Linked DNA regions of Oryzias latipes. The protein of the gene in region 2 interacts with the protein of the main gene of each other region in a pairwise test. Links are inferred from orthologs where the notes say so. Each region holds a gene or a part of one and is shown on either strand. Other genes may lie near its edges.

Region 1 (8,325 bases), on a different chromosome or scaffold from region 2:
CAAAGCATGCTGGAGGTCAAGTGGGCGCCTTTGGAGCTTGCTGCAATCTGCTTGTTGTGTTTTGCTTGTGTGTCTGATGTGCACTTTGGTGTTTTTAGTATTACAGACTGACAGGGAGCCTGTGTGGGCCAATGGAATATATGGTAAGATATTCAAAAATACGAGGCAAAAGTAAAAAACAAACAAACACATGACATCACAGTGGCGCGAGAGTTGCTTCATTTTAGTGTCAACTAAATTTGAAATATGGAAAAAGTACTATAGAAGAGACGTGTGACATGACTAGAAGACTGTCTAAAATCATCAAACGTCTAAGAAATTAATAAAAGTTATTTTATTGGGACTTTTTGTACCTTAGTTACTGTACTTGTAGAACTTTCTGTCACATATACACATTAAGATGGCATGTGAATTAAGTTTTAAATACTTTTTGGGGTTATTCCATCTAAATTGAACACAAAGCTCCTGCAGAATCTTTATTTCAAATAGACAGTGAGGCACAGTATGTAAAGCACATTAAATGAACCCATACCAAAATTTAGCCCATTTATCCGTCCATCCATTTCCTGAACCCGCTCACTGTTCACCAGAACTTGTCCCACCCACTGTTGTGTAAAGGCGGAGTACACTTTTAATTGATGGGCCAAAACTTAGTCTGGTCAGATAAAATATTGGGTTAAAGAAAAATAATTTTTATGGTGCATACAACTTTGTAAGTGATTTAGTTAGATGAATAAAATGTTCAAGGTTTAAAGTAAATTCATTGACTTTATTTGAGAACTGGACTGAGCGATCCCTTGGGCTCCAAGAAGCCAAAATCCCATAGACTTCTATTTAGAAATAAACCATTATGACTCAGTCAAATTCTATTAGTCAGAAGAACCATTCTTGCTCTGATACCCTTTTTTAACATGTTCTTGCTAATCTTAATTGTATATTTTTCATTATATTTCTTCATTGCAAGTTATTCAAGTTATAAACTGGCCAACCAGATGCCTCAGTAACAGCATGCAGTTCTCGCTGGCCCCCACCTCGAACATTTGAAATGTTAGATTCTGAGGCCTCTTTCAGTGGAAGAAAGTTAGTGTGGACTTCCAACAAGCGTCCTGATTAGTGACAGTAGTTGCCATAGAAATGGAGACTGGGACCGACTTGGACCAATCACTGCCGAAAAATGGCGACTGAATTGGCTTCATTTGGTTGCCGTAAACCGTTTTCTGTGGGTTACGTCACACTCACTCAGTCCAGTTCTCTTGTACAGTTAATGGGTAAATTATCGAACTGCCATAGAACTCCCAGTTTCTGATGGTGAACATACTTTTAAGAAAACTAATATTTGTCTGCATTTTGGGACTAAAATAAACTTTAACGCCTAAATTTGTATCAAAAAAGGACAAAAAAAGAACTTTGCTTCTATCTCATCACATGCATTAGTTACTGTGCTAAAATAATTATTAGATTTGAAAAACATCTTCGACAAATAATTCTAGAATTCATTAATTTTAAATGAAATGATCCTGGATCATTAGTTAAACTAGTCAGAGATTTTCTGCAAATGTTAAAAGTATTCAGAGGTGATTTTTTTTTTTTGTTTATCTAAAAGGTTTTTCTAAACAACATAAGAAATATAAAACAGGATAATTTTATACTAACTTTGAGGCACAATTCTGTTTCTAAAATAAATTTTGAAAAAGAAAAAACTTGTTGTGAAAGACCTTTTTACACATATTCCCTACTGCAGCAGTGTAACAGATAAAAGTAAAGCTTGTTCTTGAGTTACCTTATTTAAGTAAAACTAGAGTCTGAAGTCAGCATGTAGTCATGCATGAGTAATTACTCTGCCATGTATATGCACAAGGAAATTTATTGCAGTTTTCCTCAGACTGTACTCGGACGTCAGTTTATTAGTCTTACCCCAAAAAAAGCACATGCAGTTTACAGCAGTCCAGCAATAAATCCTGCCTTCACCCTTGCAGCTTTAATAGGTCTTTTGATAAAGTTGCTTTAATGAGCCACGAATTGAACTTTACGGTTAAGTTTTTTTCAGGGCTGCAGGTTTGGACCTTTTGGGACTGGGTTGCATAATGTTCAGAAAAATGAAAATCATATCCTTCAAGAGAGGAGATGCTTCAATTATTTACGCAGTTATTATGCAAGACTGGATTCATTATAACTGTGTCTACCTTATAAAAAGTTGCAATAGTCTCTTCTCTAGTCCTTTTCTGTAAATCTCAAAACGGGTACACAAATTTTGGGGGAATTTTGAAGGTATTGTGTGTCAACTCTAAGCCACTGTGGTTCAGGCTGGTGGAGGGTGCTGTTTTTCACTGTTAATCATTAGTAGTAAATACTGCAAGCACGGTGATGGAAGGGGGCACTTGGCAGGGGTGTGGTGCTTAAATTTAAGCTAGAAGCACTTTTTTTTGTTGTTTTGGTGTGAATTGAGGACTTATTGCTGTTCCCCTCTGCTTAGTTCTTGCAGCACTCTATGCCTGGTTTCCTCTCTTTTCTGCAACACTGACTTCTCATCAGATCCGCTTGACTGTCACAGGCAATTTCTGGTCTCTCTGCTTTCTATATTTTAGTGTCCTAGTCATGTGAGTGTTTCTCATATTCATTGTGCAGATGTAACTCATGCTTTTTTTTTTTTTTTAAGTTTATCTGGCTCCATCAAGGTTATACAGAGTGACCTCCTGTCACACAGAATTGCTGGCTAAAGGGCTGTGGGGTTTGAAGGAGGGAAGGGAGGGGGGTCTCTTTGTCCCAGTCTTTGAAATCTGTTTCTCAAGTTACCAAACACGAAGGCAGGACTCTTGAATGGCCAACATAAACAGCCCAGTTTTTCCACGCATGCACTGCTGTGCACGTGGAGACACACACTCACCCTCTTCCTTCCTTCCCCATCTCCCCCCCTTGAGCATTAGAGTGCATTAATGTGCATGAGGGCAGTATGTAGCTGTGCATGCATATGTGCACTTCAAAATGACTCTGGCTGCAGAGAAGGGGGGGGGCAGGAAGGAAGTAGAATGGAAAAGAAGAAGGTGGAGGGGAGGGGGGCATGCAGCACTGCACGGTAGAGTAAGAGAGAACGAGAAAATGGGAGGCAGCATCACCCACCCAGACAGGAGGAGGGGAGGGTAGACAGCATGCTCGTCCCCTCAAACAGACAGAGGTGGAAGGAAAGCGGGCATGAGAGGCAGACACGAGGGGAGAAGAGAAGTACAATGAAGGAGTGCTATTGTCCATCCTGACAGCACTGCCATTTCACCATCCGCTGAGAGACGGGAAGGGTGACAAAGGAGGGGGACGAAAGAGGAGGCAGCCAAACGGAGGAGAGAGGATAGATGGAGAGGAGCGGCAGGAGCCGGCAGTGACTTTGTGAATTAACCGAGCGGAAGAGCGGATCAGAGAGGAAGCGCGATTTTTCTGGGAGTGGATGAGGAGAAAGCCAGAGAAAGAGGAAGGAGAGGACGAAGGATCCGACTTTCTGTGGCTGTTCAAACATCACTGGGGCTCTTCTTATTGGAACATGAAAACCAGCTTTTCATGAATGGTTTATTATTAATAATAATAATAAAAAACAACTATAGAAGCTTTGATATTTAGTGAGAAAAATGAAGAACACAGAAGCAAATGTGTTGCTCACTTGATACAAAACATTTTTTAAAGGACTTTTTGTAAATATAGACTCTCTTTTCGACTTCTAATTTTTATATTTTCTATAATTGTAGATCTGCAGGATGTTATACAATCATTTCTTTTAGAAGTTTCTCAGAAGATTCAGCTTTTTATGCAAGTTTTTGTAACAGTTGTCTTTTAAATACTAAGGTGTGGTGTTCCTTGTTAATTGAAAAAGGTTTTTTTTATTATTGTTTGATATGATTTGTGATTGACTAGCTGTTAGAGTCCGTACATGCATCCAATGTGGGATGTCAACACTGATTAGGTGTGATGGGTGGCTCCAAAGCAGTCAAACTTTGATCTTAATCGTATTCTTCTTCTAAAAGCCTGTGATTTTTTTTGTTTGTTTGTTTTATCCTGCCGTTCTGTGGAAAAAAATCCAAAAGGCTCATCTATTTTTCAGTTTGATTCCACAAAGCAGTTATCCCAGAAAATTCCTGCTGTTGTCGGGACTTTACGGCATACATGCTCGGCGGGCTTTTCTTTTAATGTCTGTTGCCATAGCAACGGGAAGCAGCTGCAGACAGAACTAGATGTAAAGTTCCTCTTTTCCTTTTTTTCAAAATTCATTTTAAAAACTGGTGCTGTTTCATTGCTGTTGCATAGATCATCATAGATGTAACATCTTAGAAAGAATTAGCCTGTGCTTTTGTATGATTTGTGGGTTTTGTGTTAGGGGTCATAGTTGTTAACTCTAACTTTGTCTGTGTGAAAGTTTGTTATCCAATGTTTTTTTTTCAGTTCATCTGTCCTCAATGTGCTACTATCAGGCATGACTGTGTGAATTAGATGATCACTCTGACTTCACTTGTACATATCCGTGGGTGCTGCTGTTTGACCCTGAGGCCTATGATCATCAGTCATCAGCAGTGCTGCATCTATGACAGTCTGTTCATTACAGCGCTCATCTGTTGGTGACTCAGGATTTCTCTTCATGTAGAGGGCCGTCTCCTCTGCAGTCACCTGACCTTCACTGTGTTTTGTGCACCAACATCCTAGAGCTAGGGTTGACTCGACTCTATTAGTTCTCTCAGAAGGAACAACTGGTGTTCCTAGTCTGCTGTTAACACGTGTTGGATGTGTTGCCTATGGAACGTTCTAAGCCTCTTTGGACTTAATTTTGGTTCTATTAAGTGTGTGACAGACTGTTAATTTATTCTGCATGCTTTTTATCTGAAGACTTTGTGTCTTTTCCAGCCATACTACTTTATAGCTTTCTGGAGATCATCCAGGCCTGTCTGGCAGTGGATGAGTATATCTGGATCCTCCTTGGTGCTTTTTGTCCAAGACCAGATGGATGGCTAGCTAGAACTGCTAGACAATCCCTCTGTGGTGCTAGACTGGTGTAGGCGACTGTTCCTTTTGCCATTCATCCAGCACCCACTACAATCTTGACCGTTATACTTTTGGCTTAGTTGCATTCTCAAATGTTATAATAAGCCATTCCTTTTGGTATTATTAAAAGGTTGGTGCCAGATGTGCAGCCTTGTGTAAGTTATTCATCTTTTGCAAGTCTAAAGGTCAATGTTCTGTAAATATGACTAGTGCCTCAGCAGCACTAAGGTTTAGGCAGGACAGCTTGCTGCAGGGCTAAAAGTGTACATTTGCCTCCCACTGAGGTCAAGTTGTTACAGACTGTTTCATTTGTGGGATGTTTGTTGTGAGCGACTGCTAATGTAAGAGTATTTGCCTTCTAGGTTGGTCTATGCAGAAAGATGCAGTGTTTTAAGGTGTCTGTTGGACAGAGCTGAGATCTGACTATTCCTTGCGTTGGGAAGGGAGCTGTCCTGGAATATAGCCTTTGGCTTTTTTATATCATACACTTTGTGGCAGTGTCAACATTCTTCTCTCAGGTAAACAACTATAATCTGGGCTTTTTATTGAATTGAACTACGAAACAATCAGATGACAGCAGCTGGCACTGGGTTAACAACAAAGGTCAGTTCTATTTGAGCTTCTTTCGAACCCAGATGAGTGAGTTCATCTTCAGCACTGATGAGCTCTCACTTTGCTGAAGCTGGATTATGAGATCAAACCTGACAAATCAGGTTTCATTACCATCACAACGAGCCCACCAGTAGTGTTCATCAGCCAATGACCCACATTCTCCCGTGTTACATCACCACCTTGGTGCTGCAGTGTCTGTCACTGTACCAGTCAGACAACATCTCCCAGGAGGCCTACCAAGATTCAATGGTGCTCAAGGAATAAACAGAAAAAAAAGAACAACAAAAAAAAAAAAGTGAAACTTGGTGGTCATTTTTAGGGAACACACTTAAACAAAAGCAGGCTCTTTTGTTTTTAGCCATATCAGGTACCTCTGTCAGGAACCGGCTCCGCTCTGCGAGTCCAGTCTTAAAAACAAACTTTTGTTTGGTTTTTCTTTGTTTTTCTATGGGTGTCTGTAATGACCATGTCTAGCCTCTAGCCATCCCAAAACCTTAAGTTCAAAAGGCATTCAGACGGGACTCACTTGTATTTTTTGAGTGAGGTTCTGTTAAACGGGACAGCCTGGAGAACGGGCGAGCCATCGAGGGAGGGGGAGAGGGGGCGCGAGAGATCATTTGGAAAAGAAGAGAGGAAGTGGTGGCGCAAGAGAGGGCGGAGGCGCTGGAGAGACAGAGGCTGGCAGAGTACATTGTGTGGAGGAGGAGAGAGGACTTCCAGGACAAGAAAGGAGACGGAGAGAAGGGGGGAAAGAGCACCGAAAAAGGAAAAGAGGCTTCACCAGAGGTCATCTGGAAGAGGAGAGAAGACGAAGAAGGAGACGCAGGAAGGGAGAGGGCCAAAGCCATTCAGAGAGGACATGAAATCATTTGGAGGAAGAGGGAGAGAGAGTAAAACAGGACCCGATGACACATTTGAGGGTGTCATGTTCATGAAAAGTAGCTGCTGAAGAAGCTGTTGCTACTGCTGACACAAAACTCTGACGCTAGTTGAGAGCAGGAACCCTCCTCTCTTCTCCGGCAGGTACCTGCTGTATTATTGACCAGTTAAAGTTTTGGATGATGTCTGCACAGCCCTTCTTCTAATCCCTGTTTTGGCTCCTAATGGGATTTTTAAGCATTTTTTATGGGCCTCTGTCAAGCAGGATACGACTGCCAAGCGGAGCTGCATTACACATGTGCATGTCATCATTGCGGACTGGCAAGGTTTCCAGCACCTCGTGCATGTAGTCATATCGCATTCAAGTGCACAGCTTTGGTTCCGGAAAAACAGGCATTCCGAGTGACAGGAACTTGTGGGGACTCTCTAATGACAGCTTTAAAACTGGCTCTCACTCAGGGATGGTTATGTTGGAAGGAAATACTCACTGATTGTTTTACATCATGGGAGAACACCGAGAAAGAACTGTGGAGCTGAGAGTTCGTCTTCATTAGTCCTGGGAAATCAAACAAATCACAAAAGGATTGAACCAACATGAGCTGTACAAGTCTTGAATGAGACGTTTTCTTTTTGTCTGATTATCTGGGACATCCCACTTCTCTGGACCTCTTCTCATTCTGCATTCACTGTGGACAGAGTTGTAGTTGAAGCAGTTTGGTTTGGCTGCCTCACAATGACTGTAGGACGGACAATCAGATGCAGCAACATGGATGCAGCTCAAATCATGAGCAAGACGTGCAAATGGGTTTGTCTTTTCAGAGAAAAACTTTAGTTTGACAGACACTTTGATCCACTACAGCCTTGGCATCAAAAACTCTCTCTGCAGGATCAATATGGAGCTTGTGCCCAAAACTAAATACACCCACTTTCGGAGTGAGTCGCTGAGTTCAAACGATGACACCAACTCCAATCCATCGTCGTTCCCTCCTTCCAGTCCTGCCACCCCTTTGACCCCCTCCCCTGGTATACCTTCTTCTCTTTCCTCCTCGTCTCTCACTCCTATTTTGCCCCCCACCTCTCCCCGTCCGGCAGAAAACAGTCCCACCACCCTCTGCTCCTTCTTCCCAAGGATGAGTTCCCTTCGTCTGGGTGTCACTGCTACTCTTCTTCCAGGACTCAAGGCCTCAAGCAGGTCACAGCCATCTCAGCTGGCTGTGGAGTCCTCTGGGGACGATAGGAGCAACTCTAGCTCCTCCCCTCCTCTTCACCAACCTGCTCCCCTCCTAACCGCCCCCTCTCCCCCTCCCCGACCTCCTCTGCAGGACATGAACCGGCTTGGAGGGGCGTCCAGGAGGGCACGGGTGGAAGGTGGGCAGCTGGGAGGAGACGAATGGACACGGCATGGCTCCTTCGTCAACAAGCCTACCCGTGGCTGGCTCCACTCTGACAGTGTGGTCAGCACCACTGGTGTTTCTTACACTGTAACAGTAAGTACACTCTCATCAACCTCTGTCTTATGCTATGTACACACTGGGAATGTGATGCACATTCAAGAATGCGCTAAACAGGCATACTTGAATGTGCTTTTGGCATATGGAGTTCACACTGGACTGTCGCAACCCGATACTCGCGCATGTACTTGCAGTTAGAAGAAGCTTGGTGCAAAAAGGTCCCAGCAGTGCAAATCTCGCAAATCTTTGGGTTAACAACTCTATTCCCACATGTGAAAGACTTGGTATCACATAATTCCGACCCGGCACAAACGGGTCATTATTAATTTTTCCTTCATGATACATTTTCAAACGGTTGGCCTCTGAA
Region 2 (7,686 bases):
GGCTGGACCTGCATTGGTCAAACCTTTAGAACTTCCTGGAAGTCTTGTAAATGGCAAAGATCTCCTGGTTTATGTAAAGCCGAGTATCATCAGCCTAGCATGACGCCTGATAATGTTACCTAATGACAGTAGTGGGCCCAGCACAAAGCCCTGTGGGACACCGTCCCTGTGAAGAGGACCTGACCTGGACCCCGTTTTGTCGTTTGTCTTCAGGAGACTGCAAGCCCTCAGAGGTGAAGGCCTTCACTGCAGATTACCTGGAGAAAGTTCTGGAGCCGTGCGACTGGTTGGCTCTGTGGTCCACCGACATCTTTGACGTTCTGGTGGAGGTGAGCCGCCGGGTTCTCTGGGAGGTTTTGGTTCTGGGCAGAGAGGCTCACAGAGCCGCTCCGGTTTCAGGTGCAGGACCTGGACGTGAAGAATCTGAGGGCGTGCGTGAAGCTGGTGCTGCCGCTGCGGTGCGACGGCAGAGGCTGCCGGCTGGACGAGGACGCCATGACCTCCGTCCTGGAGGCCACGCAGCACCGAGTCCCCCTGCAGGAGCTGCAGGTGGTCTACGATGAGTCCGGAGACTTTGACCAGACCGCTCTGGCCTTGGAACATCTCAGGTAGGGACCCGCTGATCCACCTTCAGGCTCCTCAGTGGTTCCAGATGTTCTTGAAGCGTTCCTGCCTCCACAGGTTCTTCTTTAAACACATCTGGCGGGAATGGGACGAGGAAGACGAGGACGACGACTTTGATTACTTTGTTCGTTGCGTGGAGCCCCGCCTCAGACTGTGAGAACACGCCCCCACAGATCCTTCAGTTCTCCACACTTGGTTTTGAGTTTTCTTGGGCTTCTAGGTACTACGATGTTCTGGAAGACCGGGTCCCGGCAGGCCTGGTGTCGGAGTACCACGCCCTACAGGAGAGCTGCTCCCGCTGCTTCCGGCAGTTCTCCGAGCTGCGCAGCGGCCTCAGCGCCGACTCCGACTCCGAGCTGGACAACGTGTCCATGGTGGAGGGCCTGAAGCTGTGCGAGCAGCTGGAGACGCTCAAACGCAAACTGCACATCATCGAGAACCCGCTGCTGAGGTGGGTCCCGCCGCGGAGGCTCTCGGCGTCCCAGCCGGACGCCCGCACACCGTCTCCTCGTCTGCTGTGTCCAGGTACGTCCTGGCCTACAAGGGCAACAGCCGGCAGCAGTGCGCGCAGAGCCGCGGGCCCAGAGCGTCGGGGCTGACGGCGGTTCACGTGGTGACGGAGTCCTGCAGCTCCATCCAGCTCCAGTCGCTGCTGAGCGTCCGCCTGGCGCCGCTGTGCTCCTCAGAGGACCACCAGATCCAGGTCAGCGGGACCCCTCTGCTCGCTCTTATACTGAGGAACCGGGTTCTTCTGAGAACGGCGAGCTCTGAGCTTCTCGGTCACTTCCTCAGTTCCACAGGGATCCGGTGTCGGCTGTGGATTCCTGTCACCATGGAGACGTGGTCATCATTCTGCCCGGCAACTACAGCGTCAGCAGCTCCATCTTCATCCCAGACTCCATCACTATAGAAGGTATGAGAGCCCCGCCCATTTGAGGGGAAGTGGGCGGAGCTAATGCTTTCTCATCACATTGAGGGGACTTTTCAACACAAAAAGGAGGAAGAACAACAGAGAGCGTAAGAGAAAATAATTTATAAAGGAATAAATACAAAGATCACTGACGAAGGATGAGCAGCATTCTGGAGAGACGGGAACCAAAGAAATTCAGTTTCATTTATGCTCAGAAGCATCAACAGTCGTGGTTCTATGTGTAAAATATCTGTGATCGGATCAAAGATCGGATCAGCCGTAAACAGACGAGCTGCAGCAGAGACCAGGGGCCTGTTTCAGAAAGGAGGTTAAGTGTAAACTCTGAGTGCATTAACCCTGACATCAGGGAAACCCTGGGTTTTCTGTTTCAGAATGGGAGGTTTGTTAAACCAGAGAAAGCAGAGTAAGTCAAACCCGTTTCTGAAAGAGAGGTAACTTATACTCTGAGTCAGTATCCATGGTTACTTATGCTGTGAACCTAACCTGGTCGGGAGCAGGTTTTATTCTCCAAACTCAAAGTTTATGCCGGTCTCCTCCCCTTTTTAAAGACGAAGCGGTATTTTTCGCTTTAACCTTCATTGCCCACATTTCCGTCACACAGAGACGGTCTAAGTGACAAGAATGGCTTGTCCTTTTTTGGAGGACCCAATAGACGAGGAGGCTGCATTAATTCATAGAGAATTATATTTACCTCGTACGAAGACTCGTTTTTTTTTTCATTTTTAGCTGCTGCCATGTTCTTGTAATTCCTGCAGGATTGCATCTACGTGAAAATTAAATCAGGGACATTGAATTAGATTAATGTAACAATTACTTTTTGGAAACACAATTTTCTAGCACTGCTTACTTTCTTAATCCCATATAAACCTATACCACTTGATCAATACAAGGGTAGTGTTGCAGCGTGTGTGTGCTGAGCGGGGTGCGAGCCACGAGAGAGAAGGGGAGGGGCGACTGCAGGTGCAGATGGGGGGGGGGGGTGAGCACGGAGCGGAGGTGTGTGCGTGGTATATATTGTGTGTTTGGAGGACGGAGCACTTAGTTACATAAAGAGAAGGTGTCATTCCCAGAATAACTGTTTTGGATTCATTCTTAATCCGCTCTGGAGGTTGAGGGTTTCCAACGGGAAATGAACCCCGAAGGAGAATTCCCTTCGGCCCTGAAGGAAATCTCCCCTGCGCTTCTGACCACGGTCGGAAAGACGAGAGAAAAGAAAGGAGAAGTCTTCGCGCAGCGAAACGTTCAACAGTAGACAAAAGTTCACTGTTAAAAACACAATTGCATGTACAGTGATCCCTTGATTATCGCGGGGGTTACGTTCCAAATAGAACCCGTGATAAGCAAAACCCGTGAAGTAGAAACCTTTATTTTTTTTACAATTATTATACAATGAAATACACTATTATACATTGAAAAGAAAGAACAAACCATTTAACAGGCTAAATCAATTGTTTTTTAACAAATAAAAGTACTTTAGAAACGTTTTTTCAACAAATAACTTCTGTAGTGTGCTGTCAAATAATAATTTCAATCATCGATAAGAACAGAAGGCTTTAAATTGCGGAGATTAGCCCCGCCCACCGCGACCCGAGTGGATTAAACGGAAGAAAATTTAAAATGATTATGAAAAAAATAAAAAAGTACAGTGGGACAGATAGTGACTCCGGTCTACTTTTTCACTGCTCTTCATACTGAGCCGCTGCATCCTCTGCAGCGTTTTTTCCTTTTGAAGCCCGCGGTGCAGCTGGAGGTGTGTTTGTTCGGGAGAGGAACATAGTGATAGGCAGTTGTTGTCGCTCTTTTTTCTTCTTTGCTAAAGATCCTTATACACCGACATGCCACCATCGATTATGTCGGAGAACTGTAATGAACGGCTCATCAAAGGGTCCCATTCTTGAGCTACTCGCTGAGTGACTTTTTTAGCCAATCAGAATGCAGGACACAATGCACAATCCAAATCCGTGAAGTAGCGAAACCGTGAAAAGTAAACCGTGATATAGCAAGGGATCACTGTATTAATATTAAACTGACCAACGTTTGCAAGAGGGGAAGGTTAACAAAAAAGTCCTCTAAACATTACCGACGTTAAATGCATTTCCCCCCCAGATTGGTTCTGTACACTATGCAGCATTTCATGCAATTACACCAGGAAGAACACTTCAAAAGTACACCTAAATATCCCCATTTTTTATTTCACACCTTACGCTATTTAAAAAATTATTACAGTCAATATTTTATAACAGTGATTTAAATGCAAACTTAGGCATTAACTTGAGCAGCTATGTTTTCCACGCTAACTGTCTCTGTTTTGCAGATGCAGCGGTGTTGCTTTTCTTCTGGAATATGTGCTCATATTCACTGTAACTCTGCAGCAGCACGTCAAGTTCAGCTGCCGAAAAATACGCAGACCTCTTTTTTTCACGGTTGCCATGGTGACTCGTGATATCTGCACTCCATTGATAATGGCTTCTTATAGTCGCGGTGCGCACGCTTAACTCCGAATCAGTCCACTCAGAATTGATTGACCTAACTCCCATCAGCTTCTCTGAAACAGAAAACTCAGAGTTGTTAATCTCTCGATTGACCAACTCAGAGTTCAACCTCAGAGTTGGTCGAACCTCCTTTCTGAAACAGGCCCCTGATGATCTCCTGAAGGGGATTTTATTATTGATTATTATGAAGTGCTGGTCCACTCATTATTTTTTTTAATTGTGACTTTTCTTCTTGGCGGGGCGGAGCAGGAAGAAGGGTTAGGGTTAGCTAACAGGTGCTAACAAGAACATTTAGCCGTGGATGCAGTTAGAATCCATGGAGCAAAGCTTCAGTCTGCATCTTTTCCTCATGTAAACATGTGGGAATAACTTCAGCCTTTATTCTGTCTGGACACCACTGGAAACATGAATCCACCTGATTGTTTACGCGGTTCCTCAGGACTGAGCGGCATTTCTGCATCCGTTAGCTCACACACCGTCCCAGAGCCGTGGTTCTACCGGGAGAACATCGGCATGACCACCGATCTCCATCGGAAGGGGCGGAGCATTCTGAACGGCGTTTACATGACGCACCTTTATTCCGATCAGGCGTTCATTCCGATCACTTCTGTCCGTGCAAACGCAGCTATTCAGCCGTTTTTCCTCATTCCCAGAGCGGGTGGTCGTCCACAGAAAGGTTACGGTGTGTTTTCCAGAGGTCAAAAGGAGGAACGTCAAAAATCCGGACAAAAAAGAAGACAGATTCAGTTCTGTGGCTTAACTAGAAAACTCAAAACTTTAGAAAGTTCCACAACATTTTGGAATCGGTCATTGCAAACGCCGATTTTTCAGCGACCTGCAGCTCCTGCAGCTTCAACACAAAATAACTTGTTTTTTTCCAGAAGCCAGTATAACACTTTTCCTGCTCTGACGCCGTCTTCCGTTCAGGTGTGTTTCTCCAGGTAGACGCTGCAGCTCTCAGGTGTTTTGTCTGTCTTTAGGTTTCGGCTTTCCGGACGAAGTTGTAATCGAGAAGAACAGCAAAGGCGACACGTTCGTGGAGACGTCAGCCGCCGACGTCCGACTGTCCAACATCAAGTTCATCCAGCACGACGCCATCGAGGGCATCCTGTGTGAGTGCGGCCGCCGTCACGCGGCTCTCAGACGCTTTGCAACACGCCGACCGCAGATGGAGATGTGGTCCCATGTCAGGTTTCTGTCAGAGAAGATCCGGATGCAGGTGTTTGTGGGAGGGGCTGAGTCACTGGCTGCGGCATGGCCTGACTCTTCTGTTGGAAGTAATTCTCCCAAAAGTTTCGGATTTCATCCCGTTGATCTGATCTAAAGTGAAAGTCCCATCGGTGTCACAACTGTCTCAGTATTCGCCCCTCCCTCAGGAACCATTTGATGGTTTAACTCCCCAGTCCTACCCTGTGGGCGTCACCACGCTTTCAGACGGCGTGGTTCCATTAGAGTCTATGAGCTCGCCTGAGCGTTTCTGCGTTAGCATGTTTTCTGACGTGGGATTCCGTGAGCACGAAGTCATAAAAACACCTGAGCTGCAGCTCCAGTGTCCACGACCTTTGAATTCATGGAACCGTTTCAAGTTTTACGCAATCAACGCAATTCCACCGGATTCTGAAGCGGAGAAAAGCAGCTCGGCACAGTCTTCGTCATTAATGTGAAGCAAAGGCGCAAAACCGCTTTTCTCCACGACAGAATCCGTTGGTTCGTGTTAAGCTGCACAATAAATAACAAATGCTTCGTTATCGCGATATCAAGCTGTTCAATACGTATATCACAGAAGTCGACAAACATTGCAGTAAATTGTAATCTTGTTGTAAAACAATCTCAAAGTATTTAACGAATCAAATCAATCCCTGATGTTAGATGTTCACTTCTGTATACGAGGATCGTCTGGAGCAGAAGTTATGTTGACTCTTATTTCAATTCAACTGTTGCAGTGAAATGGAAATATTGAATTTAGATGTTTTGTTCATGTATCGCAAGTTATATCGTCATCGCTATATTGATCCCTAATATCGCAAAATGCGAGTTTTCCTCAGATGGTGCAGCCCTAAACAGTCGAAGAATTTGTTATTCGCCGTCACCGGTGACATTTCCGGTGTTAAAGGGTTAAAGATGACCTCCCAGATTTTAGCAACATTCAGGATTTAGCATGATGAACTTCAAAAAATCATAAACACAACAAGCTGGAAGAAAAGCATCAGCTGATGTTCAGAGAGACGAAAACATGCTAGAACAAACCTGGGAGGAGCAGCTCCCGTTTGGCCTCCCTGGGCCTCCTCCGGGCCTCCTCCGGGCCTCTATTTGACCTCCTCCGGGCCTCCTCCGGGCCTCCTCCGGGCCTCTATTTGACCTCCTCTGGGCCTCCTCCGGGCCTCTATTTGACCTCCTCCGGGCCTCCACCGGGCCTCCTCCGGGCCTCTATTTGACCTTCTCCGGGCCTCCTCCGGGCCCGCTCCGGGCCTCCTCCGGGCCTCTATTTGACCTCCTCTGGGCCTCCTCAGGGCCTCTCAGTGGCCTCCTCTGGGCCTCCTCCTGCGTGCGTAGGTGACTTCCTGATGCGCCTCCTCACCGCCGTGTGTTTCTGTGGGACAGGCGTCCGTCAGGGAACTCTGAACATGGAGAACTGCGTCCTGCAGTGCGAGACCACCGGCGTGATCGTTCGCACGTCTGCGCGCCTCACCATGAACATGTGCGACCTGTACGGCTCCAAGGTGAGGCCGGCCTCCTCTGATTACCCCCCCCCGCCTGGTCGATCCTCAGCTGACCGGCTCTCCGTCTGCAGGGGGCGGGCGTGGAGATCTACCCCGGCAGCGTCTGCTGCCTGGTGGGGAACGACATTCATCACTGTAAGGACGGGATCCTCATCAAGGTGAGGCTGAACCGCAGCTCGGTGGAGGGAAACTCCGCCTCCGCGACCTCCAGCCTGAGCCCAGCCTCCATTTAAATAAGGTCTGTTTGATTTGAAGGACTTTGCCAACGAGCTGGACGGGATGCCGTCCATCACGCTGGAGAACAACGTGATCCACAATAACGAAGGCTACGGCGTGATTCTGGTGAAGCCTGGCGGGGAGGCCGGTCCCGCTGACAGGAGCGAAGGTGGGCGGAGCTCCGGTGTCTCAGCATCTTTCTGCGTGAGCGACACTGACTTGATGGTTGTTTTTTTTCCCCCAGAAGACCCCGCTGCAGTCACAGCCGACGACGGGCAGCAGGATCCGCCCACAGAGCCGCGCTCTTCCCCGGTTCCTCAGGCAGAGCCGGCGGACGCCAGCACGGCGGGCAGCGACTCGGCCGCCGGCAGGAAGTGGCAGTTCGGCCGCCAGCTGAGCAGAGCCAAGGAGGCGACGTGCAGCCGCGCAGTCCAGGACCTGATGGAGCACCAGATCTTCGTTTCCGTTCAGGGGAACCAGTTCAAGCGCAACAACAGGGGGGACTTCGGCACCTTTTTCTACTGACCTCGTTTCACCATCCTGCTGTTTGCGGGTCAGAACCGCCTGTGTGGAACTGACCCGTGAGGAGAACCGCAGAGATTTGCAGTTTGCACAGACGCTTTGATGTCTTATTTTACGTTTAGCGCCGTTTTAACACTACCTGGTTCTGGAGTTTTTGCACCATCAGCTTATAAGGTTGAGA

The links.
Region 1: the proteins of shcbp1 (region 2) and shc1 interact in a two-hybrid assay, tested with the Homo sapiens proteins (2 studies listed by BioGRID, with this or other methods). The link is inferred for Oryzias latipes from reciprocal best matches to the Homo sapiens genes SHCBP1 and SHC1.

The regions. Positions count from the first base shown.
Region 1 is NC_019874.2:18,331,619-18,339,943, reverse strand, and holds the start of shc1 (SHC-transforming protein 1), read left to right. Parts: upstream 1-3,082; 5' UTR 3,083-7,400; coding exon 7,401-7,994; intron 7,995-8,325. UniProt on the Homo sapiens protein: Signaling adapter that couples activated growth factor receptors to signaling pathways. Participates in a signaling cascade initiated by activated KIT and KITLG/SCF.
Region 2 is NC_019861.2:37,268,843-37,276,528, forward strand, and holds part of shcbp1 (SHC SH2 domain-binding protein 1), read left to right. Parts: intron 1-213; coding exon 214-329; intron 330-399; coding exon 400-608; intron 609-681; coding exon 682-777; intron 778-844; coding exon 845-1,075; intron 1,076-1,149; coding exon 1,150-1,327; intron 1,328-1,416; coding exon 1,417-1,537; intron 1,538-5,027; coding exon 5,028-5,159; intron 5,160-6,648; coding exon 6,649-6,767; intron 6,768-6,838; coding exon 6,839-6,925; intron 6,926-7,022; coding exon 7,023-7,152; intron 7,153-7,227; coding exon 7,228-7,508; 3' UTR 7,509-7,686. UniProt on the Homo sapiens protein: May play a role in signaling pathways governing cellular proliferation, cell growth and differentiation. May be a component of a novel signaling pathway downstream of Shc. Acts as a positive regulator of FGF signaling in neural progenitor cells.